4 linked regions of the Anolis sagrei genome follow. The protein of the gene in region 4 interacts with the protein of the main gene of each other region in a pairwise test. Links are inferred from orthologs where the notes say so. Each region holds a gene or a part of one and is shown on either strand. Other genes may lie near its edges. The genes, in order: ARIH2, USHBP1, BCCIP and CCDC33.

What was found.
Region 1: the proteins of CCDC33 (region 4) and ARIH2 interact in a two-hybrid assay, tested with the Homo sapiens proteins (2 studies listed by BioGRID and IntAct). The two-hybrid records come from large-scale screens. The link is inferred for Anolis sagrei from reciprocal best matches to the Homo sapiens genes CCDC33 and ARIH2.
Region 2: the proteins of CCDC33 (region 4) and USHBP1 interact in a two-hybrid assay, tested with the Homo sapiens proteins (2 studies listed by BioGRID and IntAct). The two-hybrid records come from large-scale screens. The link is inferred for Anolis sagrei from reciprocal best matches to the Homo sapiens genes CCDC33 and USHBP1.
Region 3: the proteins of CCDC33 (region 4) and BCCIP interact in a two-hybrid assay, tested with the Homo sapiens proteins (3 studies listed by BioGRID and IntAct). The two-hybrid records come from large-scale screens. The link is inferred for Anolis sagrei from reciprocal best matches to the Homo sapiens genes CCDC33 and BCCIP.

The regions. Positions count from the first base shown.
Region 1 is NC_090022.1:28,591,157-28,598,642, forward strand, and holds the start of ARIH2 (E3 ubiquitin-protein ligase ARIH2), read right to left. Parts: upstream 3,231-7,486; 5' UTR 3,038-3,230; intron 1-3,037.
Region 2 is NC_090034.1:29,449,289-29,457,900, forward strand, and holds the start of USHBP1 (harmonin-binding protein USHBP1), read right to left. Parts: upstream 3,419-8,612; 5' UTR 3,349-3,418; coding exon 3,340-3,348; intron 2,803-3,339; coding exon 2,645-2,802; intron 1-2,644.
Region 3 is NC_090023.1:196,683,184-196,690,756, forward strand, and holds the start of BCCIP (BRCA2 and CDKN1A-interacting protein), read right to left. Parts: upstream 3,225-7,573; 5' UTR 3,209-3,224; coding exon 3,032-3,208; intron 1-3,031. Other genes in the region: UROS (uroporphyrinogen-III synthase), read left to right, coding at 6,548-6,610. UniProt on the Homo sapiens protein: During interphase, required for microtubule organizing and anchoring activities. During mitosis, required for the organization and stabilization of the spindle pole.
Region 4 is NC_090029.1:300,046-308,557, forward strand, and holds the start of CCDC33 (coiled-coil domain-containing protein 33), read right to left. Parts: upstream 3,435-8,512; coding exon 3,096-3,434; intron 186-3,095; coding exon 1-185.

The sequences.
Region 1 (7,486 bases), on a different chromosome or scaffold from region 4:
GGAGCTATAGTTTCATAAGATCTTGAGCCTTCTGACAAAAAAGCGTGGGCGCCTCACCAAACTACAACTCCAATGATCCCACAGCATTGAGAATAAAAGTTAAAGTGGGGCCAGACTGCATTCATTCTACACTGCAGTTGCTTTCTGAGAGAACACAATTATCAGCGGAAGCCTTTGTAGACATGTCCCAGGATTACACAGCATTCTATACACTGCAGAAGTAATGGAAGATGTACCCATGCTACAACAGGCCTAGGCAAACTTCTGCCCTCTGCGTGTTTTGGACAGGCTATTAGGAACTGTGGGAGTTGAAGTCCAAAACACCTGGAGGGCTAATGTTTGCCCAGGCCTGTTCTACCATGTAGGCAAGCCTATTATGCTTGTTTGGAGCTTACAGGGTGACTAGCCATGGTCAGGACCCCATAAACTCCAAACAGGCATGCATGCATTTTTAGATGGGTTCTCCATCATACCTGTATTTTAAAGAATTAATAATTATAACATCAACAACAAACAATCTAGGGCTGTTAGGAATTGTAGGAAGTCCAAAGGAGGGCTGAAGTTTGACCATGTCTGTACAGGACATTATATACTCATCTTCCATTTTAATTTAAATGGCAACCAAGTTGCTTCCCTCACCTCCCAGTCCTCTCCTTCTCACCTTTTCTTCAAAAAAAATAATAATGCCAGCATAAAATCCATAGTTTAAAATTGACATTAAAAGTAGGTCATTGTTTTTATTACTACGTAAAACAAGGCCCAGGTGGCTTCCCTCATGTCTCCCAGTCCTTTCCCTTTAGAAAGATCTAAAGACTTGGCTTTTCTGATGTGCCTTTGGAGAGTGACCATATATTCCAGTCCTGTTGTTTCACCTACACTGCTTCCCCCATACTGCACTTTCCCCCACCTTATTGAAAGTCTAAATCCACTGTTCAGTCCCCTTTGAGCTCCTCCCCCACAATTGTACCTTTTCATTGCTATCTCATCCAGTGTTTTATCATTTTATGTCATGCATTTGGCCCGCCCACTGTGTCTGATTTTCCATTATGTTATTTTGTACTGTTTATTTTACTTGATTGGTTTATTTATTTTATTGTGATGTTATTTTGTTGTTTATATTTAATGTTGCTGTAATGTATCGCTGGGCTTGGCCTCATGTAAACTGCCGCGAGTCCCCTTTAGGAAGATGGTGGCAGGGTATAAATAATAATAATTATTATTATTATTATTCCCTCTCATCCATTCTTGTAAAAATGCCAGCTTAAAATCCATGGTTTAAAATTGACATTAAAAGATAGGCCTTTTTTTATTACTATGATTAATGGGTACATTAATGTACTTTCTACTGACGACTCCTATGACATATGGCCTGTATTATGACCTGAATTGTCATTCAATCTGATGTCCTATATTATATTAACTGATCCTGTTAATTTGCTCTGTTTCCATGGTTTTTCCTATGCCTTAATACATTGTCATCTACCTTACTTCCAAGTACTTGGAAGGCGCTGAACAGACTGTGCTCTGGCACCACGAGATGCAGAGCCAACCTTCAGAAATGGGGCTACAAAATGGAATCCTCGACATACGAGTGTGGAAAAGAGCAAACCACTGACCACCTGCTGCAATGCATCCTGAGCCCTGACACATGCACAATGGAGGACCTTCTTGCGGCAACACCAGAGGCACTCCAAGTGGCCAGATACTGGTCAAAGGACATTTAATCAACTACCAAGTTTGCAAAATCTGTGGGTTTTTTAAAAATCTGATTGTTTATTTTGTTCTGTTAGAAATGTGATACAATGGTATGGTTGCCGATGACACGATAAATAAATAAATCTACGTTACTAAATCACTTTATCCTTTAACTAGTTCACGTAGTGGTTTGCCTCCCCCCTCCAAAATTAGTCTGCTGTTATTATTGTTGCTAGCTATTTTTGTTATATTGTTTTATGCTCGTATGCCCTTCACAAACACTAGTATCACCTTTTGCTTATGGCCCAGCATTATTTCCAATTTTAACTCTACATTTGGCCTTCCCACTGTTTTAATTATGTGTTGCTTCTTTAATTTTTGTCGTGTCAGGAGTGACTCCTGTTGTGAGAGAATTGGCCGTCTGCAAGGACGTTGCCCAGGGGACGCCTGGATGATTTGATGTTTTTATCATCTTTGTGGGAAGCTTCTCTCATGTCCCCGCATGAGGAGCTGGAGCTGATAGAGGAAGCTCATCTGCCTCTCCCCGGATTCGAACCTGCGACCTGTCAGTCTTCAGTCCTGCTGGTACAAGGGTTTAACCCACTGCGCCACCGGGGCTTCTTTAATAATGTTGTGTATTTATTATCTATGTTTTTTAATTGCTTGTATCGATGTTTTATTGCTTCTGTTGTTGTGTTGGGCTCGGCCTCATGTATGCCGCACCGAGTCCCTTGGGGAGATGGTAGCGGGGTACAAATAAAGTTAATCAATAATAAATAAATAAATGCTGTTTTATGCTGTTTTAATTGTTATTGCTTTATTTTAATTATATTCTGCCTGGGCTTGGGCCCAATGTAAGCCACCCCGAGTTCCTTCGGGGAGATGGAGGCAGGGTAGAAAAATAAAGTTCTTCTACATCTGTACTGTACAATAAGGGTAGTTTGGCACCTATTTGATTGCTAAGGAACGGTGACTGTTGTAGTTTGGACTCTTGGCACCATCCTCGGGATGGGGAATACAAACTACAGCTCCCAGGACCCCATAGTATTGGGCCTAGACAAGGAAAGGGGTGCCAAGCTGCCTTAATTCGAATGAAAGGATGGGAGAAGCGAAGCACCAGACCTTTGAGCAGGCATGGGCTTAAGCGGCTGAGGGGGGAAAGGAAAGGGCCTGAGGCTGTTAGGAATGGTGGGAGTTGAAGTCCAAAACAGCTGGAGGGCCCAAGTTGGCCCATGCCTGCCCTTGAGGCCCACAACAAGGCAACTACGAGGGGGCCTTGCCTCTCCCTCCGCCCGCCCTCTATGTAAACAAGGCCCGGCTTCTTCCCCTCAGAGACTCTCACCCTCAGAGCGGTTGGGATGAACGCGGCCTCTTCAGCAGCGAGCGAAAGGGAAGACCGAAAGGAGGGAAGAAGGAGAAGAAAGAAAAGGGAGGAAGACCGAATCACCTTCCTGCCGAGGAGACGGGCGCCTCCATCTGTAGCCGGGCCGCTGTGGCCTGCGCACCGGAAGCCGTGGCCTCCAGCGCGGCGTCACTTCCGCCGCCGGGAAGGCCGCTGACGTAGGAGGAGCTGGCAAGGCGAGGAAGGCTGGAACGAACCATTCTTCAGAGCGCTCGGGGAGGGGGGGGGGAGCAGAGATGAAGCGTTCTATGGGCCATATGGAGAGTGAAGAGGGGGAGGACGAGATCTTTCTTCTTGCCTTCCAGATTATCCTCTTAGAATCATAGAATCAAAGAGTTGGAAGAGACCTCATGGGCCATCCAGTCCAACCCCCTGAAAGAAGCAGGAATATTGCATTCAAATCACCCCTGACAGATGGCCATCCAGCCCCTGTTTAAAAGCTTCCAAAGAAGGAGCCTCCACCACACTCCGGGGCAGAGAGTTCCACTGCTGAACGGCTCTCACAGTCAGGAAGTTCTTCCTCATGTTCAGATGGAATCTCCTCTCTTGTAGTTTGAAGCCATTGTTCCGCATTCTAGTCTCCAGGGAAGCAGAAAACAAGCTTGCTCCCTCCTCCCTGTGGCTTCCTCTCACATATTTATACATGGCTATCATATCCCCTCTCAGCCTTCTCTTCTTCAGGCTAAACATGCCCAGCTCCTTTAGCCGCTCCTCATAGGGCTTGTTCTCCAGACCTTTTATCATTTTAGTCACTCTCCTCTGGACACATTCCAGCTTGTCAATATCTCTCTTGAATTGTGGTGCCCAGAATTGGACACAATATTCCAGATGTGGTCTAACCAAAGCAGAATAGAGGGGTAGCATTACTTCCTTAGATCTAGACACTATGCTCCTATTGATGCAGGCCAAAATCCCATTGGCTTTTTTTGCCGCCACATCACATTGTTGGCTCATGTTTAACTTGTTGTCCACGAGGACTCCAAGATCTTTTTCACACGTACTGCTCTTTGTTTCACAGAGATCTGTTTTAAAAACAATCCCCACCATCCATCAAGAAGGCTGATGAGATTCTTTGGAAGATAGTTTTATTAAGATTTCCTGCATTGAGAATGCATCTTTTATACATGGAAAGTGTCCTTCTAGCTATATATGCTTCTAAATACCAAATATTCCCAGATCTCATCTCCACTCTAGGAGCCCCCGGTGGCATAGTGGGTTAAACACCTGTGCCAGCAGGACTGAAGACCGACAGGTCGCAGGTTCAAATCCCAGGACAGCGCGGAGGAGCTCCCTCTATCAGCTCCAGCTCCTCATGCGGGGATATGAGAGAAGCCTCCCACAAGGATGATAAAACATCAAATCACCTGGGCATCCCCTGGGCAACATCCTTGCAGACAGTCAATTCTCTCACACCAGAAGCGACTTGCAGTTTCTCAGGTCGCTCCTGACGATGAAAAAAAAGGCTGACCCGAATATAAGCCAAGGCACCATATTTTACCCCAAAAAACTGGGAAAATGTATTGACTCGAGTATAAGCCGAGGGTAGGAAATGCAGCAGCTACTGGTAAATTTCAAAATAAAAATAGATGCAATACAACTGCATTAATTGAGGCATCAGTAGGTAAAATGTTTTGAATATTTACATAAAACTATAATTTAAAATAACACTATGGAACTCTGATTAAACCATTATTCTAACCTTCAATGTAAATTATTATTATTATTATTATTATCTTTATTTGTACCCCGCTAACATCTCCCGAAGGACTCAGTGCAGCTTACAAAGGCCAAGGCCCTCAGTAAAACAACAACATAACAAATACAACAATAAAACTCATAAGGGATGTGCTTGCATATACTTCCAATAAAAATAGAGTAAAATAACAAATGTAATAATACTAACAATAATAATAGAGTAAAATAATGGAAATGTAATAATAACTACGGTAATAATAGAGTAAAATAAGAAATATAATAAAACAATAGTAAAGTAGAATGATCAATGTAATAACAACAACAATAACAGTACATTTATTATGTATTTCTAACAGGTAAAATAATAAATAACCTTGACTTGAATATAAGCCGAGCGGGACTTTTTCAGCCTAAAAAAAGGGCTGAAAAACTAGGCTTATACTCGAGTACATACAGTATATAATTTCTATATATAATGTTTATTATTATGTACTAGCCGTTCCCTGCCACGCATTGCTGTGGTTCAATCTTTGCATATGTGTTTTGTGTGTGTATATATATATGTGTATATGTATATATGTGGTTTTGCACATGCGTTGTAATGTATTTATTTGTTTTGGCTTTTTAAGTTTCATCCACTGTGTTTTTCAGTGTTTTTATGAGTGATGGTCACTTGTTGGCCTGATAGGTGCATTGTGTCCAAATTTGATGTCAATTCGCACAGTGGTTTTTGAGTTATGTTAACCCCACAAACCAACATTACATTTTACAGCAACGCGTGGCCAACTGGCTGTTAGGAATTGTGGGAGTTGAAGTCCAAAACACCCGGAGGGCCCAAGTTTGTCCATGCCTCCCTATTCTGATGCATCATTTCTGACTGCCCCTCTTGTGCTTATCAGTGACATGGTATGCACATAATAATAATAATTAGCAGAAGTAAAATGAGGCTTAGGAATTGGGGAAGATGTGGTCATCCTCAATCTTGTGTTCAGCTGTGTTCACAAGTGAAACAGACACTGCTCAATCTTGCCACTAGATGGAGGAAAGTTGTTGGTAAGTAATTTTCAGCATTCTTTCCAGTCTGAGCAAATGCAGGGCATTGTTCCATCTGAATTCAGGCAGCAGATTATTTATTTAACAAATAGAGGCAAATAGTGTCATCACTTCTGCATTGTTCTTTTCTCTGACTTCCTCTTACAGATAATATCAAGTGTTCAGCATGCCTTCTAAGGTTGGCTCCACGCTGTAGAATTAATGTAGTTTGATACCACTTCTCCTACCATGGTGGGGGACATGAGCGAAGCCTCCCTGCAGGATCGTAACACATCCGGGCGTCTCCTGGGCAACATCTTTGTAGATGACTGATTCTCCCACATCAGAAGTGACTTATCAATTCAGTAACGGACACGATAAATAAATAATAAATAAGACACCTTCACTCTTTGGTGGGAAAGGCAAAAGACGTTGTAAAATGACAGTTCTCCTGATTTGTAAGTACCAATGCACTTACAGTGGTATTAAACTGCATCAATATCAAAAGTGGACACAGAATTTAATAATCATTATGTGAGGAGGTAATTGTTGAAAATCTGAAACAGATATAAAGTCTTGTCGAAGGCTTTCATGGCCAGAATCACTGGGTTGTTGTAGGTTTTTTCGGGCTATATGGCCATGTTCTAGAGCAGGGATCCACAAACTTTTTAAACAGAGGGCCAGGTCACAGTCTCTCAAACTGTTGGAGGGCCGGATTATAAGTTGTAAAAAGCATGAATGAATTGCTATGCCCACTGCACATATTTTATTTGTAGTGCAAAAACCACTTAAAAACAATACAATAATTACAATGAAGTACAATTTTAACAAATATAAACTTATTAGTATTTTAATGGGAAGTGTGGGCCTGCTTTTGGCTGATGAGATAGGATTGTTGCTGTTGTGTGCTTTCAAGTTGTTTCAGACTTAGGTTGACCCTGAGCGAGGGCCGGGTAAATGACCTTGGAGGGCCGTATCCGGCCCCCGGGCCTTAATTTGAGGACCTCTGTTCTAGAGGCATTCTCTCCTGACGTTTCGCCTGCATCTATGGCAAGCATCCTCAGAGGTAGTGAGGTCTATTGGAACTAGGAAAGTGGGTTTATATATCTGTGGACAAGTCTACATAGACAAGAGGACAAGAGGGATCCTCTCACTTCTTCAGGAGTCTACCGTATACCATGCAACTGTGGACAAGTCTACATAGGGACCACCAAACGCAGCGCCCAAACACGAATCAAGGAACATGAAAGGCACTGCAGACTACTTCAGCCAGAGAAATCAGCCATAGCAGAGCACCTGATGAACCAACCTGGACACAGCATATTATTAGAGAACACAGAAATGCTGGACCACTCTCACAACCACCATGTCAGACTACACGAGAAGCCATTGAAATACACAAGCATGTGGACAATTTCAACAGATAGGAGGAAACCATGAAAATGAACAAAATCTGGTTACCAATATTAAAAAGCTCTAAAATTACAACAGCAAAACAACAGAGGGGAAACAATCAGGCACATCTAATCACCTCTCAACAAAAGATTGTCCCAGGCACTGCCAGGCCATCAAATGCTAATCAAGGTGGTTAGTTGAAACATTCACACCTGCTCCAACAGACATGAGTTCTTTGCCCCACCCTGGTCATTCCACAGATATATA
Region 2 (8,612 bases), on a different chromosome or scaffold from region 4:
TTGAATTTTGGAGTTCTAATTCACCTACATCCAGAGAGCACTGTGGACTCTCTTTGTGATATCGAGCCTCTTTTTTGGAGGACCTCCCCAGCCGAGGAGATCCTGAGGACCGTACCGAAAAGGGTCCTTGAACCTTGGTGAGGGCAGCGAAGCCAATTCCAGCAGTGAAAATATTAAAAATAATAATCCTCACCAAAGCGGAAGAAGTCAGCGACCAAGGTGTCTTTATTAGCGATTCAGCTGAGATCGGATGCATTGTAGGAATAGTTCCACTACAAGCATACCGCTAAAGAATTTATAAGCATTTTTATAGAGAAAATACAGCAAAACCTTTTGAATTTTCCGCCCGCCCCTCTCCGCCCGGCTTCACGCTGATTGGTTGACAGCCTGAACAGCTGGGAGGAGGCTTGGCGGCCCGCCCTGCCCTGGGCCAATCAGCAAGCTTCTCCGCCTCTGGAGGGCCAATCGGCGTGCTTCTCTCGCTTCTGAGGATGGACGAATCAGAAAAGAGGAGGCGGGCCGACCGCGGACAATGGGGGAAATGATGGGATTACTGATAGCCGGCCAGCTGGAATGTGAGGCTTTTGTCCTGAGCCGGCTAGGTGTGATTTCCACAAGAAAGGCTTTCCTGTCCTTGATGGGTTTTGGTGGGGAAACAAACAGGACCGGGGCAGGGGACCTCAGGGGGGTCGACCCTGCCCTTTGTAAATCAATCATAATGTCCATATAGACTTCCTCGTCTCGCCAGACCGACTCAGAGAGCGAGAAAGGAAATCCCAAATATGCTATTGTCCATGCTGATGTGAGATAATCAAAATGAGTTTCGAGGGAGGCAGGGGTCCTCCCTCAGGCATTGCAACGGTCCTTGGTCACTTCTTTTAGGGCAAAAGTCAAGGGGAAAGGCGGGAAGGCAGACGATATTTCATGCAATATTATTTATACAAAGTTCATGTAAGAAAAACCCCATTTCCACCCCACATCTTAATTATTTAATAAAATAATTGATTTTTTATTTGAAAACTTGAAGTCCCAGGTTTCTGAGGGAGGCTCGTGGAAACGGAGGTGGCTTGCAGTTCAAAGCAAGCAGCAGAGAGTCATTTTCTTCTGGTAGAAGTTAGCAGATGGGCGCTGAGTTGATAAATAACAAGATCCATCGCTCGGTCCTTGGGGAACTATAACTCAAGTACCCTTATTAGAGATTAGATACAAAGTCAGGGCTAGAGGGAAAATGATGAAAGCTGAAAGCAGTCCTGGCCTTGAGCTGTTTGTTGGGGCACATTTCATCAGTTTTTTTTCAATTTCGGCTTCCAGGAACTGCGGAACTCTCCGCTGCAGTATAGACCAGTTACTGGACGGGGGCTCTCGGCACCATTTGCATGAATTCTCAATATGCCCAAATGTGAACACTGATGAGTTTGGGGGAAACAGACCATGGCATTTGGGAGTTGTAGTTGCTGGGATTTATAGTTAACCTACAATCAAAGAGCATTCTGAACCCTACCAACAATTGAATTGGGCCAAACTTCCCACACAGAACCTCAATGTCCAACAGAAAATACTGTGTTTTCAGGATGGTCTTTGGTGACCCCTCTGACACCCCCTCGCGATCCCTCCAGGGGTCCCGACCCCCAGGTTGAGAAACACTGATCTAGAACATACCCGACTAAATCTTCAAAAACAGGATAACATCCAAGTTAGGGCCAGGTTTTAGCACAGCGGGTTAAACCACCAGCTGCAAAAAATCTTGCTGATCAAAAGATTGGTAGTTCAAGCCTGGGTCAGGGTGAGGTAGCCTGGTCTTTGATGCCTGGAGGCACCCTCTAGGCAGAGACCCTCACTGATTGACTTTGCAGCTGCAAGGCTACTATCAATGCTAATTGGAACAGTCACACTAGCTTGAAACAGAGAAGGTTCTTTCTCCCTCCCTGGATATCATTCCACAGGGGGCTATATATATATATATACACATACATACATACATACATATACATACACATACATACACACACACACATTCCACTTGCTTCACTACCTCTATTCAGATACCCTCACTGATTGACTTTGTAACTTCAAGGCTACTCAATGCTATTCAAGCTTGCTACTTGCAACATCCACACTTGCTTCAAAGAGACAAAGGTTCTTTTTCCCACCCTGGACATTATTCTATAGGGATATGCACACACTCCACTTGCTTCACTGCCTCTGTGCAGACACCCTCACTGATTGACTTTGCAACTGCAAGGCTACTCAGTGCTGTTCAATCTTGCTACTTGCAACATCCACACTTGCTTCAAAGAGACAAGGATTCTTTTTCCTAACCTGGACATTATTCCACAGGGATATACACACACTCCACTTGCTTCACTGCCTCTATGCAGACACCCTCACTGATTGACTTTGCAGCTGCAAGTTTCCTCAACGCTAATTCAAGGTTGCTAATTGCAACATTCACACTAGCTTTAAAATAGGGAAACTCCAGACATCAAGCACACACTGGACAGCTCCCCAGCAGAGGGTGTTTCCAGGCAACAGAGGCCAGGCTATCTCTATGCAGATACCCTCACTGATTGACTCTGCAACTGCAAGGCTGCTCACTGCAACACCACAATTGCTTCGAACAGACAAGGTGACAGCGACCAGTTACCTGTCTTTCTCCCGCTGGAGGCATTGGATGTGTCCGTGAAGGCGGGACACCGTCACTAGCAGTGCCGTGATGTGCTCCTCGCAGCGAAGGGCTTCTCGCTCATCTGGTGGCAAAGCCTTTTCGGGGGATCCTTTGTCACCTCCAGGCCTGGATCCTTCCTGCGTTTCGGGAAACAAAATGAGTTGAATCAATGGCAGGCAAAGGCCTCAAGTGTGGCTACTATGGATCCAAGGTGTGTGCTTGACCTGGGCAAGAGCTGCATCCAAGCAACGGTCCTATTATATAAAAATAAAAAAGTAAAGGTTTTCACTTGACATTAAGTCTTGTCATGTCCGACTCTAGGGTGTGGTGCTCATCTCCATTTCAAAGCCAAAGAGCTGGCATTGTCCTCAGACGCCTCCACGGTCATGTGGCTGGCATGACTGCATGGAGTGCCATTACCTTCCTGCTGGAGCAGTACCTATTGTTCTACTCACATTTGCATGGTTTCGAACTGCTAGGTTGGCAGGAGCTGGGGCTAACGACGGGAGCTCACCGCATCCCGCAGATTTGAACTGCCAACCTTCTAGTCAGCAAGTTCTGCAGCTTAGTGGTTTAACCTGCTGCGCCAACACAGCCCCTATTATATAATAATAATAATACAATAATATTATAGGGACTATACTGCTCAGAGGCTGAGAGAATGTGGCCCTTACCTGCTCCATTCTGTCCAAAAAGTGGCTCCAAAGGCAGCATCAGCATCAAAATAAGCCAAAGCCCAGCCCTTTGGTTCCTGTTCATTCCCATAAAAATAATAATAAAGAAAAGGCCTTCCTGTTTTTCCAGAGAGGAAGGAAGCCAGCTATATCCGGACCAGTGCTTTAACCCTAAAGAAACTGGGGTGGAAGTATTTACTTATGTATTTATTATTACTATATTATATTTATTACTAGCTTGGGGTCCCGGCAGTGCCCGGGTGATTTGAAAAGGGCATTGGTTGTTTTGGGATGTTAGGTCATATCATTTAGTTAATTAGTAACATTATTTATTAGAAAAAAGCCAGTCTTTCCTGTTGTTTTTTTATGAATGCTCCCATTAGAAAATGCATAAGGGTGTGGGTGAACTGCAGTTCCCAAAATCGTGGGCCAATTACCCCAAGCCCCACCAGTATTCAAAGTTAGCCATGTTGGGCTTGTGTGCCAGGTTTGGCCCAGATCTGACGTCGGCTGCGTTCAGTGCTCTCTGGATAAGGGCAAACGAAAACTCCCAGAATCGTGGGTCAATCGCCGCCAAACCCCACCTGTACGCACTGCAAAGTTTGGTCTGGATCCGACATTGGCTGGATTCAGTGTTTTCTGGATAAGAGCGAACTACAATTCTCAAAATCAAGGTCAATTTCCACAAAACCCTGTAGTATGTTCAGTTGGTCATGGGGCTTCTCTGTGTGAAGTTTGGTCTCCCGTCCATTGTCAGTGGGGGTCACAGTTTGTATGGATGTAGGTGAACTATAACTCCCATAAATCAAGGTCAATTTCCCCCCAAACTTCTCCAGTATGTCCACGTGGTCATGGGGTTTCTCTGTGCCAAGTGTGGTCCTGGTCCATTATCGGTGGGGGTCGCAGTATGACTGGATGCAGGTGAACTACAATTCCCAAAATCAAGGTCAATTTCCCCCAAACGTCTCCAAAATGTTCAGATGGCTTCTCTGTGCCAAATGTGGTCCCGGTCCATTCACGGTGGGGGTCACAGTTTGTATGGATGCAGGTGAACTATAACTCCCATAAATCACATATACAGATTTTCACTTTTATTATGTGTATAGATATAGATATATCTAATATAGTATAATCAAAACGTATCTAAAACAATATAATGAAATTGATTAATAATATAATATATTAATAAAGTATTATTAAAGTAATATTTCCCTTTTAAAAAAAATTGACTTGATTTGGGCAAGAGGCTTAGGTTTTTGGCAGGGAAACTACAAATCCCAGAAGGCCTTGCGCCGGAAGGGCGGGGCCAAAGGAATGCCCTCCCTCCTACCCACTTCCGGCTCGGTTTGCAAAGGGAAAGAGTCTGCATCTAGCCGCTTAAAGGTGAGAAAAAGGTTTATGTATAGGTTTATGGTGCAATGCATAGCTGCTAATATGGGGAAAGGGCATGAACACTGTTATTATTATTGTTATTGTTATTATTGTTAATCAACCTGCCCTATAGGGGGAAAGCACATTGTATTTCCTTGCATTTGTTATGGCAAGATCAATCTCCACCATTAGAAAAGGAAACTAATAATAATAATAATCATAATAAAATTATGGTGATTATTATTATTATTATTATTATTATATTATGCAGAGACTAGATAACCATTTGTTGGGAGGGCTTGGATGATATCTTCCTGTCTATAATTATAATTCTAATTTTATCATTATATTATTATTGTTGTTGTTGTTATATTTCAGAGCTTCCAGGAGGGCATGGCTTGTGTCTTTCTGCCTGGGGCCTCCTCCAATTCTATATTATTATTATTATTATTATTATTATTATATTATATTACTATCAAGGAATCCAGGAGAACTCCCAAACTGCGAATCTGCGTTTTCAGGGGAAGTGTGACCCTGTCCAACACAGGCCATAACCCTATACCCTGTTTGGCCTTGTGACTGACCAGGAGCACCTCTGTCTTGTCTGGATTCAGTTTCAGTTTGTTTGCTCTCATTCAGATCATCACAGCTGCCAAGCACTGGTTCAGGACCTGAACAGCCTCCTTAGTAGCAGGTGGAAAAGAGTGATATAGTTGGACGTCATCTGCATACAGATGGCATCTCTCCCAGTGGCTTCATGTAGATGTTAAACAACATGGGGACAATACTGAGCCCTGTGGGACCCCACAAGACAATGGCTGTGGGGCTGAGCAGGTGTCAGTAACACCTTCTGAGAATGACCTTCCAGGAAGGACCAGAGCCACTGCAGAACAATGCATCCAAGCCCCATTCCCAACAGGCGTTCCAGGATACCGTGGTCTACGGTATCGAAGGCCGCTGAGAGGTCCAGGAGAACCAACAGGGACACACTCCCCTTGTCCAGTTCCCTATACAGATCATCCACTAAGACGACCAAGGCTGTTTCAGTTGTTGTTATTATTATTATTGGAAACACAACAAGATGGGTCCACAGCAGACACTCTGTTGGCTGTTGCATTGGATCACACGTCAGACACTTCCCAACTGTCTAGGAGTGTGTGATGTATCTGCGAATAATGCGTGCAGATCCCAGTAGGGTGGCCTTCTGCAGCTGGCAGATGGTAATTTTGTCAGTGCCTATTTTGTTTAAATGCAGGCCAAGGTCTTTAGTCACTGCACCCAGTGTGCCGATCACCACTGAGACCACCTTGACTGGCTTGTGCCAGAGTCTTTGCAGTTCGATTTTTAAATCCTCATATTGTGCCAGCATTTCCAGTTGTTTCTCTGCAATCCTGCTGTCACCTGGGATTGCGACATCGACAATCCATACTTTTTTTTTAACACGATTGAGGTCAAGAGTATTACGCTCCAAAACTTTGTCTGTCTGAATCCAGAAGTCCCAGAGGAGTTTGGTGTGTTCATTCTCTGTAACCTTTTCCGGCTTGTGATCCCACCAGTTTGTTGCAGGCAGATGGTTTTTGTGGCACAAGTTCCAATTAATCATCTGAGCAACGGTGTTGTGCCTCTGCTTGTAGTCTGTCTGCGCAATCTTCTTGCAGCAGCTGAGGTTGTGATCTGTTGTTTCATCTGCTTCCTTGCAGAGTCTACACTTGGGATCTGTTGTCAGCTTTTCAATTCTGGCTTTGGTGGCGTTGGTTCAAATGGCTTGTTCTTGGGCTGCCAGAATCAGGCCCTCCGTCGTCTCCTTTTTCAGAGTTCCATTTGTGAGCCACAGCCATGTTTTTCTTTGTCAATTTGGCTCTCCATTTTTGCTTGAACCTGTCCATGGAGAGCCTTCTTTTGCCAGTTTTCTCTTCTGCTTTGGATTGTGTTTTCACTCTTTGTCTTTGGCACTTGAAGCAGTTGACTACACACTAGTCCAATGTGGGCTAGGCAAAACTACGGTGAGGTGGATCTGTAATTGGTTAAGTGGACGAACACAGAGAGTGCTCACTAATGCTTCCTCTTCATCTTGGAAAGAAGTGACAAGTGGAGTGCCGCAGGGTTCCGTCCTGGGCCCGGTCCTGTTCAACATCTTTATTAATGACTTAGATGAAGGGCTAGAAGGCATGATCATCAAGTTTGCAGATGACACCAAATTGGGAGGCATAGCCAATAGTCCAGAGGACAGGAGCAGAATTCAAAATGATCTTGACAGATTAGAGAGATGGGCCAAAACTAACAAAATGAAGTTCAACAGTGACAAATGTAAGATATTCCACTTTGGCAGAAAAAATGAAATGCAAAGATACAGAATGGGTGACGCCTGGCTCGAGAGCAGTACGTGTGAAAAAGATCTTGGAGTCCTCGTGGACAACAAGTTAAACATGAGCCAACAATGTGATGTGGCGGCAAAAAAAGCCAATGGGATTTTGGCCTGCATCAATAGGAGCATAGTGTCTAGATCTAGGGAAGTCATGCTACCCCTCTATTCTGCTTTGGTTAGACCACATCTGGAATATTGTGTCCAATTCTGGGCACCACAATTCAAGAGAGATATTGACAAGCTGGAATGTGTCCAGAGGAGGGCGACTAAAATGATCAAGGGTCTGGAGAACAAGCCCTATGAGGAGCAGCTTAGGGAACTGGGCATGTTTAGCCTGAAGAAGAGAAGGCTGAGAGGAGATATGATAGCCATGTATAAATATGTGAGAGGAAGCCACAGGGAGGAAGGAGCAAGCTTGTTTTCTGCTTCCTTGGAGACTAGGACGTGGAATAATGGCTTCAAACTACAAGAGAGGAGATTCCATCTGAACATGAGGAAGAACTTCCTGACTGTGAGAGCCGTTCAGCAGTGGAACTCTCTGCCCTGGAGTGTGGTGGAGGCTCCTTCTTTGGAAGCTTTTAAGCAGAGGCTGGATGGCCATTGGTCAGGGGTGATTTGAATGCAATATTCCTGCTTCTTGGCAGGGGGTTGGACTGGATGGCCCATGAGGTCTCTTCCAACTCTTTGATTCTATGATTCTATGATTCTATTGACTTCCCTCACTGTTGTTCTTGACTGCCTTTCACATAATCTGCCAGTGTGTGTTTCTCTTCTTCTACCTTTTGTTTCACTTACAGAAGCCCTCTCTTTGCCTCCTGATTTTCTGGGCAGGTCAAGTCTGTCGATGACATCTCTACGCGGGTGTAATGAGTAGTGGGCTGTCATCAGTTTCCTTGTTTTTCTGTCCAGATCATCCAGCTCTGCTTGTGTCCAGTTCACAATCCCAGCAGTGTATCTAATGACGGGGATGGCCCAGGGGTTGAGAGCCTTGATCGTATTTCTGCCATTTAATTTGCTCTTCAAAACCTTTCTGACCCTTTGGACATATTCTTTGCTGACGACACTTTTCACATGCCCATGCTTGATATTATCCAACCGTAGTATGCCCAGATATTTGTAGGCTTCAGGCTGATTGCATTTTATGGTTTGTCCATTTGGCATCTCTATGCCCTCGCTGTGTGTAATTTTCCCTTTCTTTAATGCCACTGTGGCACATTTGTCTAGGCCGAACTCCATACTGATGTCAGTGCTGAAGATTCTGACTGTGTTGGTCAGTGACTTGATTGCAGTTCCTGATTTTCCATAATTATAATTATAATTATTATTGTATTGTCAAAGGCTTTCATGGCTAGAATCACTGGGTTGTTTTAGGTTTTTCAGGCTATATGGCCATGTTCTAGAGGCATTCTCTCCTGATGTTTCGCCTGCATCTATGGCAGGCATCCTCAGTACCTCTGAGGATGCTTGCCATAGATGCAGGCGAAATGTCAGGAGATAATGCCTCTAGAACAGTGGTTCTCAACCTGGGTTCCCCAGA
Region 3 (7,573 bases), on a different chromosome or scaffold from region 4:
TGAGCCGCTCCCGATAGGGTGGTCTCGGCGTGGACATTGAAGTCCCCCAGCACAAGCAGCCGCTGGGACTCCAATGCCAGGTCCGAGATCACCCCCGCTAGCTCAGTCAGGGAGTCTGTAGTGCAGCGAGGTGGACGGTACACTAACAGAATCCCTAATCTGTCCCGGTCACCCACCCTCAGGTTGACGCATTCAAAATTTGTTGACTGCGGGATGGGGGCCCTGGTCAGAAGAATGGAGTCTCTATAGATCACTGCAACCCCGCCTCCCCGCTCCCCGGATCTTGGTTGGTGCTGCACGGAGAAACCTGGCGGGCAAAGCTGGGTCAAATTTACACCTCCAGCTTCGTCCAGCCAGGTCTCCGTGATGCACGCCAGATCTGCCCGTTCATCCAGGATTAAATCCTGGATGAAAGCTGTTTTGCCATTGACAGATCTGGCGTTCAACAGCACCACCTTCAATCCGGGGGGACCGCCGACCTGGTTACACCAATTCACCATATCAGGAGACCGAGTTGGAGTTACTAATGTTGTTGTACGATCCCTAGGCCGAATTCGAGGTCTCCTTTTCCCGTATCTCCCCATCCCCACCACGCATATATATATATATGCCTTAAAATGTTCAACAATCTGTTTTGAGATCTATGTATTAGGCCTGTGTGGTTTCGTTCGTTAATTCGTTATTTCGTTATTAATTCGTTATTTTTACCACATCCGACGCGATTTCAAAACACATTTTCAAACCCGGAAGGGTTTAAAAATATCGAAACAGCAGCCCCATATATTTTACGAGCTTCAGCTCGTGTCGTTAATGGGATGGAGGCTGCTGAGTGCTGCTGGTGCCTGGGAGCCAATCCGGCGCTCCCAAGCACCCCAGCAGTGCACCGTGGCAGGAGCCGGAGCCGATTGGATGGCGCGCGCGCGCTCACCCTTACAACCAGCCTCCGCGCGCCATCCAATCGGCTCCGGCTCCTGCGCCCTCCTCCTCCTCCTCCTCCTCGCGCGCGCGCTCACCCTTACAACCGGCCTCCGCGCGCCATCCAATCGGCTCCGGCTCCTGCGCCCTCCTCCTCCTCCTCGTGCGCGCGCTCACCCTTACAACCGGCCTCCGTGCGCCATCCAATCGGCTCCGGCTCCTGCGCCCTCCTCCTCCTGGCACTTCCTGCAACACAGCTGGGAGGAGGAGGAGGAGGGCGCAGGAGCCGGAGCCGATTGGATGGCGCGCGGAGGCCGGTTGTAAGGGTGAGCGCGCGCGCGAGGAGGAGGAGGAGGAGGGCGCAGGAGCCAGAGCCGGTTAGATGGCGCGCGGAGGCCGGTTGTAAGGGTGAGCGCGCGCGCGAGGAGGAGGAGGGCGCAGGAGCCGGAGCCGATTGGATGGCGCACGGAGGCCGGTTGTGTGAGTTTTCAGGGCTGTATGTATGACCATGTTCCAGAAGCATTCTCTCCTGACATTTTGCCCACATCTATGGCAGGCATCCTCAGAGGTCTGTTGGAAACTAGGCAAATGGAGTTTAAAAAATGTTTTGTAAATATTTACGAAATTTCGTAAATAACAAAACATTTTTTTGGAAAGTTTTGTAAATATTTTAAATATCGAAACAAAAAAACACCCCAATTACAAATCGATTTAGAAACAAATTTTTTCTTGATCAAACAGGCCTACTATGTATATAAAATACAAGTGTGTTGGGCAGAAGATAGACAGAGATCTACTGGTAGATCTCTGACCTATATTGATTTCTGAATTCTTTATCAAGATGGCATCCCATGCCCCAAGAATGATAGTTAAAAATGAAGAAGTCACATGGCAAAGGGCTAATTAGGGTTGGATTTCTGGTGCAAAAGTAAGTTGAGTCTCTTATATGTCTCAACAAATATAGATCATTTTGATCTGTCAAACATTTGACAGTTGAAGAGCTATTGAATGAGGAGGGAGGTTTTGTATTTATCTTTTTTCTTACATGGCTTGTAGTTTGGGTTTCTTTTCAATGTTTTACTTTGATGACCTATAACTTACTGTGTGTTCATTGCAAATTGCAAACCACTTATGGGAGAAAGGTGGGTTCAGAATGCTCTTTGATTGTAGGTGAACTATACATCCCAGCAACTACATCTCCCAAATGACAAAATCAATATTTTGAGTGAAAAACATACATTGGGTTGTTAGCTGTCTTGTGTCCAAGTTTGGTCCAGTGGTTTTTGAGTTCTGTTAATCCCACAAACGAACATTACATTTTTATTTATATAGATTATTACTAGTATTATATTGTATTATATAAGAGATAGGGCCTTCTCGGTGGTGGCTCCTCAGCTGTGGAATGCCCTTCCTACGGACATTAGACTAGCACCATCTCTAATGGTATTCTGCAAAAAAGTGAAGACCTGGCTGTTTGAGCAGGCGTTCGAATAATTAGCGCAATGATTGGTTAATGAACACTGGAATGGAACAATGGATGATGAATCTGAAACATGTTTTTGATGACGAGATGACAGTGAATGGGTATTGTAGTAAGTGTTTATTAATTGTGTAATGTGTTAGGTTGTTAACTGTTTTTATACTGTAGCACTGAATTTTTGCTGTTCATATTTGTTGTAAACTGCTGTGAGTCGCCTTCGGGCTGAGAACAGTGGTATATAAGTAAGGCAAATAAATAAATAAATAAATAATATTATTAGCATAGCAGTATTAGTATTATATATTATTATATAGTACTACATCACTACTGTATACTGCAATATTATTAGTAATAATAATAATAATAAACATACTACATGTTTTTATCATAGACTCAATTAGAGAAATAACATTGATAACCCAATGTTACATAGTATTAATGTACCCTGTGTCTTTAAATCCCACTCCCTGAAGGCACTGGACTACAACTCCCAGGACGCATCGCTCTCGGATAACACTGCCTCGCCGAGCAGGGAATGCTGGGAGTTGTAGTCCAGCTGCTTGGGTGAGAAAAGTCATGGCCGACTGGGAGGAAAAGAAAGAAGAGGGATAGAGATCATCACGGCTTGGCGATTACCTCGTTGATCTCCTCCTCTTCTTCTTCTTCTTCCTCATCGTCCTCCTCCTCGCTATCCAACTCCGAGTCTGACTCTTCTTCCTCCCGCAGGGCATCGGGCGGCCCAGCCGCTTTTCTCCGCTTCGCCTGAGAAGCCATGCCGCTGCTCACCCGCTGGCCAGTTTGCGCATGCGTCATGGAGTCCTCCTGACCCAGGGAGGCGGGGATTCTAAGACGACGAGGAAGCCGATTCCTTCAACCTCCCCCTCCCTCCCTCCTAGGTGAGTGGAACGCCTGAGTGTTGGAGTCGCCCACTGGAAGTAGGAAGGGGAGGGGGCTGCTCGTATGCGTTGCCATGGCGACGACGGGCTGATTGACTTCCCGCTCCCCCCGTTAAACCCCTCCGGTTGGATTCGCCTGACCGGGCGCTTTCAAAACAGTCAAGAAGGGGGCAGCCTGACAGTCATGACCTGCAGATTCGACACTGCTTTCACTCATAGTGACCAATGCTATTGGGAATCATGGGATTTGTAGTATGGTTGAGGCAATGCAACTCCCACGACTCCATCGTGTTGCTCCATGGCAGTTAAAAGTGGTGTCAAACTGCATTCATTCTAAAGTGTAGAGAGGATGCACCCCTTTATACCTTCTAAAAACACTTGATTTACCTGGACATCTATGCAAAATAAGCCAAGTATTTACTTTTTCAATTCACTGATATAACAACATCTCCTTATCCACAAAAAAAATAAAAAATAAAGTTATTTGCATTGTGTCCAGCAAATGGCCAAAACCAAGCTGAATATTGATGCCTTATTGCGGTTTTATTATGGGCCCTTCCACCCAGACCTGTATCCCAGAATAGGTAAAGGTAAACGTTTTCCCTGACATTAATCCAGTCGTGTCCAATTTTGGGGGTTGGTGCTCATCTCCATTTCTAAGCCAAAGAGCTGGCATTGCCCGTAGACACCTCCAAGGTCATGTGGCTGACATGACTGCATGGAGCGCCCATTACTATGTACCTGCTCCAACTTACCTACAAGCCACTCTAAACATCTTCGCAGAAGCATACGAAAAGCTTGGCCTGTCATTAAACATTGAGAAAACCAAAGTGCTCTTCCAGCAGTCACCGGCCAATTCCTCTCCAATGCCAGAAATACAGCTTAATGGTGTAACATTAGAAAATGTTGACTATTTCCACTATCTTGGCAGCCACCTTTCCTCCAAAGTCAGCATTGACACTTAAATACAACACTGCCTGAGCTCTGCAAGTGCAGCTTTTTTTCCAAATGAAGCACAGAGTGTTTGAGGACTGGGACATCCGTAGGGATACCAAGGTGCTTGTTTATAAAGCTATTGTCCTCCCAACCCTGCTATATGCCTGCGAGACGTGGACAGTCTACAGACATCACAAGCAACTCCTGTAATGATTCCATCAGCGCTGCCTCTGAAAAATCCTGCAAATCTCTTGGGAAGATAAGTGGACAATTGTCAGTGTGCTGGAAGAAGCAAAGACCACCAGCATTGAAGCGATGGTCCTCCGCCATCAACTCCGCTGGACCGGCCACATTGTCAGGACCACCGTCTCCCAAAGCAGTTGCTCTACTCTGAACTCAAGAACGGAAAACGGAATGTTGATGGGCAGGAAAAGAGATTTAAAGATGGGCTCAAAGCTAACCTTAAAAACTCTGGCATAGACACTGAGAACTGGGAAGCCCTGGCCCTTAGCACTCCAGCTGGAGGTCAGCTGTGACCAGCAGTGCTGTAGAATTTGAAGAGGCACAAATGGAGGGTGAAAGAGAAAAACGTGCCAAGAGGAAGATGCGTCAAGCAAACCCTGACTGGGACCGCCTTCCACCTGGAAACTGATGCTCTCACTGTGGGAGAAGATGCAGGTCAAGAATAGGGCTCCACAGTCACCTACGGACCCACCGCCAGAACACCGATGTTGGAGGACCATCATCCTCGGACTACGAGGGATCGCCTAAGTGAAGTGCTCCAACTTACATACGCATTCAATTTAATAACAAGCCTACAGAGCCTATCTTATTCCTAATTTGGGGACTGCCTGTAATCAACTTTCTGATCCCAGATTGGCAGTATAGACTCATATAATCCAGTTCAAAGCAGATAAGGTGGGATCAGATACTGGATTATATGGCAGTGTAGATCCAGCCTGAGACTGTTGTACTTTGGCCATATCATAAAAAAAAACCTAACTCACAAGAAAAGACAATAAAACTTGGAATAATAAAAGGAGACTGCAATACAGATCGATATACTCAAGCACCTTCTACACTGTCATATAAAATCCAGACTATCTGCTTTGAACTGGATTATATGGCAGTGTAGACTCAGGCCCCTTCTACACTGCCATATAATTCAGAATATCAAGGCAGATAATCAACATTATCTGGTTTGGGTTATCTGAGTCCATATAATGCAGATAATCGAGATAATCTGGATTTTATAGATCTGTGTAGAAGGGGCCTCATACAATTCAGTACATAGCAGATAATATGGATTATATGATTTGATAATCTGGATTAGATGGCAGTGTAGAAGGGGCCTTGGAAATCCTTCATTTCTAGGATCACCATATATCAAAATCAACTGGATGGCATTTAACCACAAGGATTATCTGAGTCTACACTGCCATATAATGCAGATAATCCAGATATTCTGGATTTTATAGATCTGTGTAGAAGGAACCTCATATAATTCAGTTCATAGTAGATAACCTGGATTATCTAATTTGATAATCTAGGCTATGTGGCAGTGTGGAAGGAGCCTTGGAAATCTCTCATTTCTGGGATCACCATATACCAAAATCAACTGGATGGCATTTAACCACACTTTATAGCGAATGAGTTGTAGTGGAGCTTCCTGGTGGGTTTTGTTTGAGGCAGTAAAATACACCGTAGCTTGTAAATCTTTCACTTGGTGACTCACATGCAAACATTTTAAACAGTATTTGTACTAGAAAATATTATTGGAACCATTAAATGAATTGTGTATACGAGTGTGTGAAGTTCTGTGAGTGTGTTGAATTTCTACAGTATGAAGAGGTTGTCATTTCTACTATATATTGGTTGCTAAAATATAATTACCTGAATCTCAGCTAGAGAAGATCCATTGAATCAATGAGATTTACCGATATGTCGATTTGCAATTCAGCATCGAATCCAATGGTTTTTCTGTAATAGGGATAAGCAATAGGATTTAGAACTGTGTTACTTTAAGAAGCAAAACAAATGCATTTCTTTCTTATCTTTTCTCCCCTTGGGACAGAGGAACATATCATTTAAAACCAACATGCATTTTGTTCGCCTTATCAGAGTAGATGTTCCTTCCCAGAGAATGCATAGTAACTGCTTACTCACTGTGCGACAAAGAAGACTTTGGTGAAGCTGTTAATCTTCCTATTTCTTGAGGTCCTCAACTGTACAGACTTCCTATAGAGACGAGTCCTCTAGATCTAATTTAGATATATTTTCATTTGTATTCCTGCTTTTTCTAGCCATTCTTCAGTAAACAATGAAAGTCCTGTTGCTGAAGGATCCCAAAGAAAGTGAAAATGGGCCAGATCCATATATAGAAGTAAGTATCCTTAGTATAAGATTGGAAAACCTTAGAAAATGTTATTTGACTAACTAGCTGTACCTGCCATGCGTTGCTGTGGCCAATCTTCCCTCCTTCTTTCTCTTCTTTCTTTCTTTCTTTCCTTCCTTCCTTCCTTCCTTCCTTCCTTCCTTCCTTCCTTCCTTCCTTCCTTCCCTTTTTTCTTTCTTTCTTTTTCTCCATCCTTCTTTCTTTCCTTCTCTTCTTCTTCCCTTCCTTCTTCCCCTCCCATTTCTTTCCCTTCCTCTTTCTCTCCATTCTTCCTTCTCTACCTATTCTTGGACTGCAACTCCCAGCAGTCCTCCTGATCTATTTATCTATCTGTCTGTCTGTCTGTCTGTCTGTCTGTCTGTCTGTCTATCTATCTATCTATCTATCTATCTATCTGTAGGATTGCTGGGAGTTGCAGGAATAGGAAATTGGAAATATGCAGGGATTGGGATGCTCTCAAAGAAATCCAAGGAGAAGAAAGCTTGCAGCTTGGAAGCAGTGCCTTTGGATCATCCTCCTCTCCTTAAGGGCCTGGTTTTTTTGTATTGTTGCAATTGTGTTGTGCATAGTTGCATTACTTTGGTCCTCGTTCCTATATATATATATATATATATATATATATATATATATATAGTCGTGTCAGGAGTGACTCCTGGTGTGAGAGAATTGGCTGTCTGCAAGGACGTTGCCCAGGGGACGCCTGGATGATTTGATGTTTTTATCATCCTTGTGGGAGGCTTCTCTCATGTCCCATTAAATATATTATACACTGTTTCTATATAAACTATTGTGTTTTGTTTCAAAACATGTTGTTGTTACCATGTAATTGCATCAGTCTATACATTTGTATTCAGAAATAAGTCCAGTGGTTTCCATGGACATCCAAGTAAGCAGGTATAGGATTGCAGTCAAAGATAACTTTCTAGTTTTAAGTAGTTCCAGAATGACTCA
Region 4 (8,512 bases):
AAGTCCAGCTTAGGGCTGTCTTCTGGAGACGGGAGGTGGAGACTGGCATCGCTTGGCAATCGCCGCAGCAAAACTGGTGAGGACGACAAGGACGATGGCAGAGATACCGATGCCCTGTCATGTGATGGATCGTCCATTTCTTCTGGAGGAGCTTCGTGATGAGGAACAGGAGGTTGGGTGAGCAACTGGTGAGAAGACAAAGAACAAGTTCTAGAACGAGGCTTCTTCATGGTATAAAAGACCAGTCTTTTTATATTTAGGATTATCTGGGTGAAGAGTGGTCAAGGGTTCTTCCAGATGTTGACCATAAGGCAGTGTTTCTCAACCTGGGGGTCACGACCCCTGAGGGGGTCATGAAGGGGTGTCAGAGGGGTTGCCAAAGACCATCAGAAAACACAGTATTTTCTGATCATCATGGGGATTCCATATAGGAAGTTTGAGCCAATTCTATCGTTGGTGGAGTTCAGAATGTTCTTTGATTGTAATGAACTATAAATCCCAGCAACTACAACTCCCAAAAGTCAAGGTCTATTTTCCCCAAGATCCACCAGTGTTCACATTTGTGCATATTGAGTATTTTTGCCAAGTTTGGTCAAGATCCACTATTGCGTGAGTCCACAGTGCTCTCTGGATATAGATGAACTACAACTCCCAAACTCAAGGTCAATACCCACCAAACCCTTCCAGTGTTTTCCGTTGGTCATGGAAGTTCTGTGTGGCAAATTAGGTTCACATTTGTGCATATTGAGTATTTGTGCCAAGTTTGGATGAGTCCACCATGCTCTCTGCATATAGGTGAACTCCAACTCCCAAATGCAAGGTCAATACCCACCAAACCCTTCCAGTGTTTTCCGTTGGTCATGGAAGTTCTGTGTGGCAAATTAGGTTCAAATCCATCGCTGGTGGAGTTCAGAATGCTCTTTGATTGTAGGTGAACTATAAATCCCAGCAACTACAACTCCCAAATTACAAAGTCAATCCTCCCCCAACCCCACTAGCATTTACATGTGGGTGCATTGGGTATTTGTGCCCAGTTTGGTCCATTGAATGAAAATACATCTTGCATATCTGATATTTACATTATGATTTATAACAGTAGGAAAATGACAGGTATCAAGTAGCAACAAAAACAACATTATGGTTGGGGGTCACCACAACATGAGGGGCTGTATTAAGGGGTCATGGCATTAGGAAAGTTGAGGATCACTGCCATAAGGTCACATCGGAATACCTAAAGATTCCTAGAACATCTCTCTCTGGAAATCTCTAGGTCCTCCAGATCTGACCAAGAGTCATTCTTGGTCAGATACAGTCATTCTGGAGGACCTAGAGACCCCTAGAGTGGGCTGACTGTACATACATTTCAGTTCCTGTGCATAATGTCATCCTTTACATCATGAATATTTCCTATTGTTGTTGTTGGATGCCATCAAATCATTTCCAACTTAAGTTAGCCCTAAGGGTTTTCTAGAGCTCATCCAAGGTCACCCAGTGGGTTTTCATGGCTGAGTGGGTGCATATACTCCATAGAATTAATTTGGTGTGACCTCAATTTCACTACCATTGCTCAATGCTATGAAATCCTTGATGATGTAGTTTGCTGAGGCACTGATGTGGTTGGGCAGAGAAGGCTGGAGATCTTGTCAAACAACATCTTCCAGGATTCAATTCCATATCAGTTAAAATGCACCCTATGTTTGTGTAGAATTACCCTATACATGCTGAGATATCTCATGATGTTTCCTGTATATCTCATAGTTGGGTGCGATCTCCAAGATATCTCATGATGTTTCCCGTGCATATCATACATGGATCCCATCTCCAAGATATCTCATGATGGATTCCATATATATGGTACTTGGGTCCCATCTCCAAGATATCTCAGGATGTATTCCATATACATGGTTCTTGGGTCCCATCTCCAAGATATCTTATGATGTATTCCATACATATCGTACTTGAGTCCTGTCTCCAAGATATCTCATGATGTATTCCTTATATATCGTATTTGGGTCCCATCTCCAAGATATCTCATGATGTATTCCTTATATGTCGTATTTGGGTCCCATCTCCAAGATATCTCATGATGTATTCCTTATATATCTTATTTGAATCCAATCCCCAAGATATCTCATGATGGGTTCCCTATGTATTGTACTTGGGTCCCATCTCCAAAAAATATCATGATGTATTCCATATATATGGTACTTGCATCCCACCTCCAAGATATCTCATGATGGATTCCATATATATGGTACTTGGGTCCCATCTCCAAGATATCTCAGGATGTGATATCATACATGGATCCCATCTCCAAGATATCTCATGATGTATCCAATATATATCATATTTGGGTCCCATCTCCAAGAAAGCTCATAATGTATTCCATATGTATTTGGATCCCTTCTCCAAGATATCTCATGATGTATCCCATATGTATTGTACTTTGGTATTGTACATATCTTATGATGTATCCCATATATATCGTATTTGAGTCCCATCTCCAAGATATCTCATGATGTATCCCATATATATTTTATTTGAGTCCCATCTCCAAGATATCTCATGATGGATTCCATATATATGGTACTTGGGTCCCATGTCCAAGATATCTCATGATGGATTCCTTATATATCGTATTTGGGTCCCATCTCCAAGAAAACTCATGATGTATCCCATATATATCGTACTTGACTCTCGTCTCCAAGATATCTCATGATGGATTCCCTATGTATTGTACTTGGGTCCCATCTCCAAGATATCTCATGATGTACCCCATATGTATTGTACTTGAGTCCCATCTCCAAGATATCTCATGATGTATCCCATATATCGTATTTGAGTCCCATCTCCAAGATATGTCATGATGGATTCCATATATATGGTATTTGGGTCCCATCTCCAAGATATCTCAGGATGTGTTCCGTATACATCATACATGGGTCCCATCTCCAAGATATCTCACGATGAATCCCATATATATCATGGACAATAATGCTGATGGAGTTCAATGCTCCAGCAACGATGTCATGCCAATTCCTTTTTCCCTTCCCAAGAAACGAAATGTTGTGACAAAAATTCACTCTTCTCCTAACCTGGGGGGTGTGGGGTTCCATGCTGAATAAAAGCGAAGTGGAAGTTTCTGAGGTGGAGACTGGATAGACCAAGCGAGGGACCTGCAGAGACTGGGAAGGAGACAGGGAACTGGTTTCCTCTCCCTCGGGCAGCTCCTCCGCCTTGGTGGGAGGCAACGGCGAGAGGCGGCGGGGCGTGATGGGCCTCTTCCTCTGGGCCACTGGTCGGTGCTCGTGGAAGGACACGGTGAAGGCCATCCTCCCGCAGTGCATGGCCAGATCGTCTGGACCCACTCGCAGCAGCACCAGGATGTCGCTGTAGCCATACACGTCTTCGTCTCGGCCGGCAAACAGGTTCATGCGCGGCTGGTTGGTGCGCGGGTAGATGGCAAAGAAAGCCTCGCCGGCCTTGATGGCCCCCTTCAGAGAAGACCCACGGAGGCGCAAGGCTTCGATGCGCAGGCGGGCATCGTGGTTCTTGTCGTTCTTGCAGAAACCTGTTTGTGAAATGAAAACCAAAAAGGTAAGGACAGTTATCCCTCCACATTTGCAATTGTGACTTTTATAGATTGGATTCTTCACAGGTTTGATTAAAATGTTATCACGAGGAATCTCTAGGTTAATGTCTCTCATCATAGGGGGTCGGGACCCGGGGGGGGGGTCATGAAGGAGTATCAGGGGGGTTGCCAAAGACCATCAGAAAATACAGTAATATTCTGTTGGTCATGGGGGACCCCCAAGGTCATATCTCTTGGTCATGGGGGATGCCTGGCTCGAGAGCAGTACGTGTGAAAAAGATCTTGGAGTCCTCGTGGACAACAAGTTAAACATGAGCCAACAATGTGACGTGGCGGCAAAAAAAGCCAATGGGATTTTGGCCTGCATCAAGAGGAGCCTAGTGTCTAGATCTAGGGAAGTAATGCTACCCCTCTATTCTGCTTTGGTTAGACCACATCTGGAATATTGTGTCCAATTCTGGGCACCACAATTCAAGAGAGATATTGACAAGCTGGAATGTGTCCAGAGGAGGGCGACTAAAAGGATCAAGGGTCTGGAGAACAAGCCCTATGAGGAGCAGCTTAGGGAACTGGGCATGTTTAGCCTGAAGAAGAGAAGGCTGAGAGGGGATATGATAGCCATGTAGAAATATGTGAGAGGAAGCCACAGGGAGGAAGAGGGAGCAAGCTTGTTTTCTGCTTCCCTGGAGACTAGGACGCAATGGAGCAATGGCTTCAAACTCCAAGAACTCCTGGTGGGTTCATAGGCAGAGATGCGGTCAGATAGGTAGCTTGGGCCGGAACTGTTTAGGGCTTTAAAGGCCAACGCCAGCACTTTGAATTGAGCCCGGTAGCAGATCGGCAGCCAGTGGAGTTGGCGCAACAGGGGGGTTGTATGCTCCCTGCGCTCCGCTCCTGTTAAAATCATGGCTGCCGAGCGTTGGACTAGTTGGAGCTTCCGAGCTGTCTTCAAAGGCAACCCCACGTAGAGAGCGTTGCAGTAGTCTAAGCGGGATGTAACCAGAGCGTGGACTACCGTGGCCAAGACTTCCCAAGATACGGGCGCAGCTGGTGCACAAGCCTAAGCTGTGCAAATGCTCCCCTGGTCACTGCCGAGACCTGGGGCTTCAGGCTCAGCGATGAATCCAGGATCACTCCCAAGCTGCGAACCTGATCAAGGGTCTGGAGAACTAGCCCTATGAGGAGTGGCTTAAAGAGCTGGGCATGTTTAGCCTGAAGAAGAGAAGGCTGAGAAGATATGATAGCCATGTATAAATATGTGAGAGGAAGCCACAGGGAGGAGGGAGCAGATCAGGGGTCTGGAGAACAAGCCCCATGAGGAGCGGCTTAAGGAGCTGGGCATGTTTAGCCTGAAGAAGAGAAGGCTGAGAGGAGATATGATGAGGGCCATGTATAAATATGTGAGAGGAAGCCACAGGGAGGAGGAAGGAGCAAGCTTGTTTACTCCTTCCTTGGAGACTAGGACACAAGGGAACAATGGTTTCAAACTACAAGAGAGGAGATTCCATCTGAACATTAGGAAGAACTTCCTGACTGTGAGAGCTGTTCAGCAGTGGAACTCTCTGTCCCGGAGGGAGTGTGGTGGAGGCTCCTTCTTTGGAAGCTTTTAAGCAGAGGCTGGATGGCCATCTGTCGGGGGTGCTTTGAATGCAATATTCCTGCTTCTTGGCAGAATGGGGTTAGACTAGATGGCCCATGAGGTCTCTTCCAACTCTTTGATTCTATGATTCTATGATTCTATATCAGCATAAAGTAAGAACATCACATCATTTTCTTCTCAGCTGTGATGACTCGCCGTAGTGCCGTGTTGCTGGGAAAGTCCACCCTGGCCCCGTCTCCGTTACTGGAAGGACCATGACTAAAGGCCAGGAAAACAGGGAAAGGGGGGCAGGTGAAGGATGACACCACCATCCGTGAACCGTTTGAAAATCCCCTGGTGGGACCAGATCAAAGGAAACACAACAATGACCTAATCCATGTCGGAGCTTCTGGGCCTCAAAACCAGGAATTCATTCCCATCATCAACGTTCTCTATCCTCTTAAATCAGGGCCGGGCCAACCTTCTAACTTGGGGACCACACTCCCTGCGAGGAGGACAGGAAGGAAGGGAAAGATGAAGGAAAAAGAGAAGGAAGGAAGGAAGAACAAAAGGGAGGAAGGGAAGGATGGAAGGGAAGGAGGAAGGAAAAAGAGAAGGGAGGGAGGGAGGGAGAGAAGGAGGAAGGAAAGGGAGAAGGAAGGAAGGACAAAAGGGAGGAAGGATAGAAGGGAAGGAGGAAGGAAAAAGAGAAGGGAGGAAGAGAAGGAAGAGAAGGAAGGAAGGATGAAAGGGAGGAAGGCAAGGAGGAAGGAAAAAGAGAAGGAAAGAAGGAAGTAAGAGGGAAAAGAAGGATGGAATGAAGGAAGAAAGGGATGGATGAAGGAAGGGAAGGATAAAGGAAAGAGAGAAGGAAGGAAAGTCAGGGGGAAAGGAAGGAAGGTAGGAAGAAAGGAAAAAGAGAGAGGGGGAGAATGCGAGAGGGAAGGGAGGGAAGAGAGAAGGAAGGGAAGACAAAAATGGAAGGAAGGGAGGAAGGAGAAAGAGGGGGGAAGGAAAGATGAAAGGGAAGGACAGAGGGAGGGAGAAAGAAGTCGGGAAGGAAGGGAGGGAGGAAAGGAGGAAGGAATGAGAGAGGGAAGGAACGATGAAAGGGAGGAAGAGAATGATGGAACGAAGGAAGGAGCAGACTGTTGAAGGAAGGATAAAGGAAAGAGAGAAGGAAGGAAAGACAAAGGGAAAGGAAGGAAGGAGAAAGAGAGGGAAAATGAGAGAGGGAAGGGAGGGATGAGAGAAGGAAGGAATGACAAAAGGGAAGGGAGGAAGGAGAAAGAGAGAGAGGGAAGGAAAGATGAAAGGGAAGGACAGAGGGAGGGCGAAAGAGATCAGGAAGGGAGGGAGGAAAGGAGGAAGGAATGAGAGAGGGAAGGAACAATTAAAGGGAGGAAGAGAATGATGAAACGAAGGAAGGAGCGGAATGATGAAGGAAGAGAAGGATAAAGGAAAGAGAGAAGGAAGGAAAGACAAAGGGGAAGGAAGGAAGGAAGGAGAAAGAGAGGGAGAAAGAGGGAATGAAGGGATGAGAGAAGGAAGGAAAGACAAAAGGGAAGGGAGGAAGGAGAAAGAGAGAGGGAAGGAAAGATGAAAGGGAGGAAGAGAATGATGGAACGAAGGAAGGAGTGGAATGATGAAGGAAGGGAAGGATAAAGGAAAGAGAGAAGGAAGGAAAGACAAAGGGAAAGGAAGGAAGGAATGAAGGAGAAAGAGGGAGAAAGAGAGAGGAAAGGAAGGAAAGACAAAAGGGGAGGAAGGAAGGAAGGAAAGAGAGGAAGGATGAAAGAGGGACAAATGGGGAAGGAAGGAAAGACAAAAGGAAAGTAAGGATGAAAGGGTGGAAGAGAAGGATGAATGGCGAAAGAGGGAATGAAGGAATAAGGAGGGAGGAAAGGGAGGGAAGGACAAAAGGGTGGAAGCAAGGAATGAGAAAGAGGAAGAGAGGGAAAGAAGGAAATGCGAAAGGGTGAAAGGAAGGAGAAAGAAGGAAGGAAGGAAAGAACGAAGGTAGGATAGGATGGTGAGAGAGAGGAGGGCCTGAGAAAAGAGCCCAAGGGGCCAGATATGCCCATACCTGCCTTCAATCATAGACTATTTGAAGTCTTGTTAAGTAGAGCTTCTATTGTGCCAGTATGACCAGTGATAAGGAACGCTGGGAGTTGAAGTCCAACTGCATCTTGAGGGTTCCCATCCCCTGGCTTATATTTTGGGCTTCGTTAAGCATAATGCCCAAGACCTTCTCATGAAATGAGATGGATTTCTGGCCCTGAAGGCCATCTCCTTATCTTCTCCCAGAGTCCCCTCAGCTCACCCTGGACCAACCCCCCTGGCATGGCCCACCCCACCTGGCTTGCTGGGGGGCTCTTCCCAAGCTCTGCTCTGCCGGCATCCTTCTTACCTTTGGGCAGGATGAAGAGGAACCTCCTTTTCTCAAAGGTGTAGACTTCATCCAGGCTGCCCTGCTCCACCACGTCGGTGGTGGCCGTGTTGGTCTGGAGGGGTTCTCCTTCATTGACCCGGAGTTGCACCCCGGCTCCTGACCCCTCCAGCAAGGGGTTTTCCACCGTGAGCCTCAGGGCGTAGCTGCCCACCTTGTTAAACTGGACGCTGGTCAACTCAAAGTCAAAGTCCAAGACCTTCTCCTCGGCCTTCAGGCGGGATTTCTGCAAGGTCATGGGGAGACGGGGCTCCCGGTGCCTGTTCGCCATGGCGTGTTGGGTCATGGAGGAGAAGAGAAGAGCACGTCACAGGCACATCTCCAAGGAGCTCGCCATGGGTTCATCTGCCTGGAGTTCATCATGCAAATTGCACCATGGTTGAAGGGCTCCTAAACAGACCAACACAACTCAGGAGAGAAGGATCTCTCAAACACACCTTGGCTTTGGCCCAAGACTGACCTGCCAAGGCCTGAGATCCTTCTCCACAGGCATGACTCTGGTTCCTACCATTCACACATCTTCTTAGATGAGCGACAGAAGCCACACCAACACACATTGGAGGAAAGTGCAAGATATCCGTGAAAAAGGAGGACGAGGAAGAAAGGCCAAAGGAAACCCAGCTTGGCTTCTGTGTTTGTTTGCAAATGAGCCTTGGTAACAAACTCAGGGCCAAGCAGGGCTTGTGCTCACCTGCAAACAATGCCCGTTAGCCAAGTGCAAACAGGTGGTTGATGTGGAAGCAGGGCTGGGGGAGAGTGTTAGCGGCAGGGGAAGGACATCAGGATTCAAAGGGGAGGCCCATGGAAAGCAGTCTGTCTGTCTGTCTGCCTATATCTATCTATCTATCTCTATCTATCTATCTCTATCTGTCTATTTCTATATCTATCTATC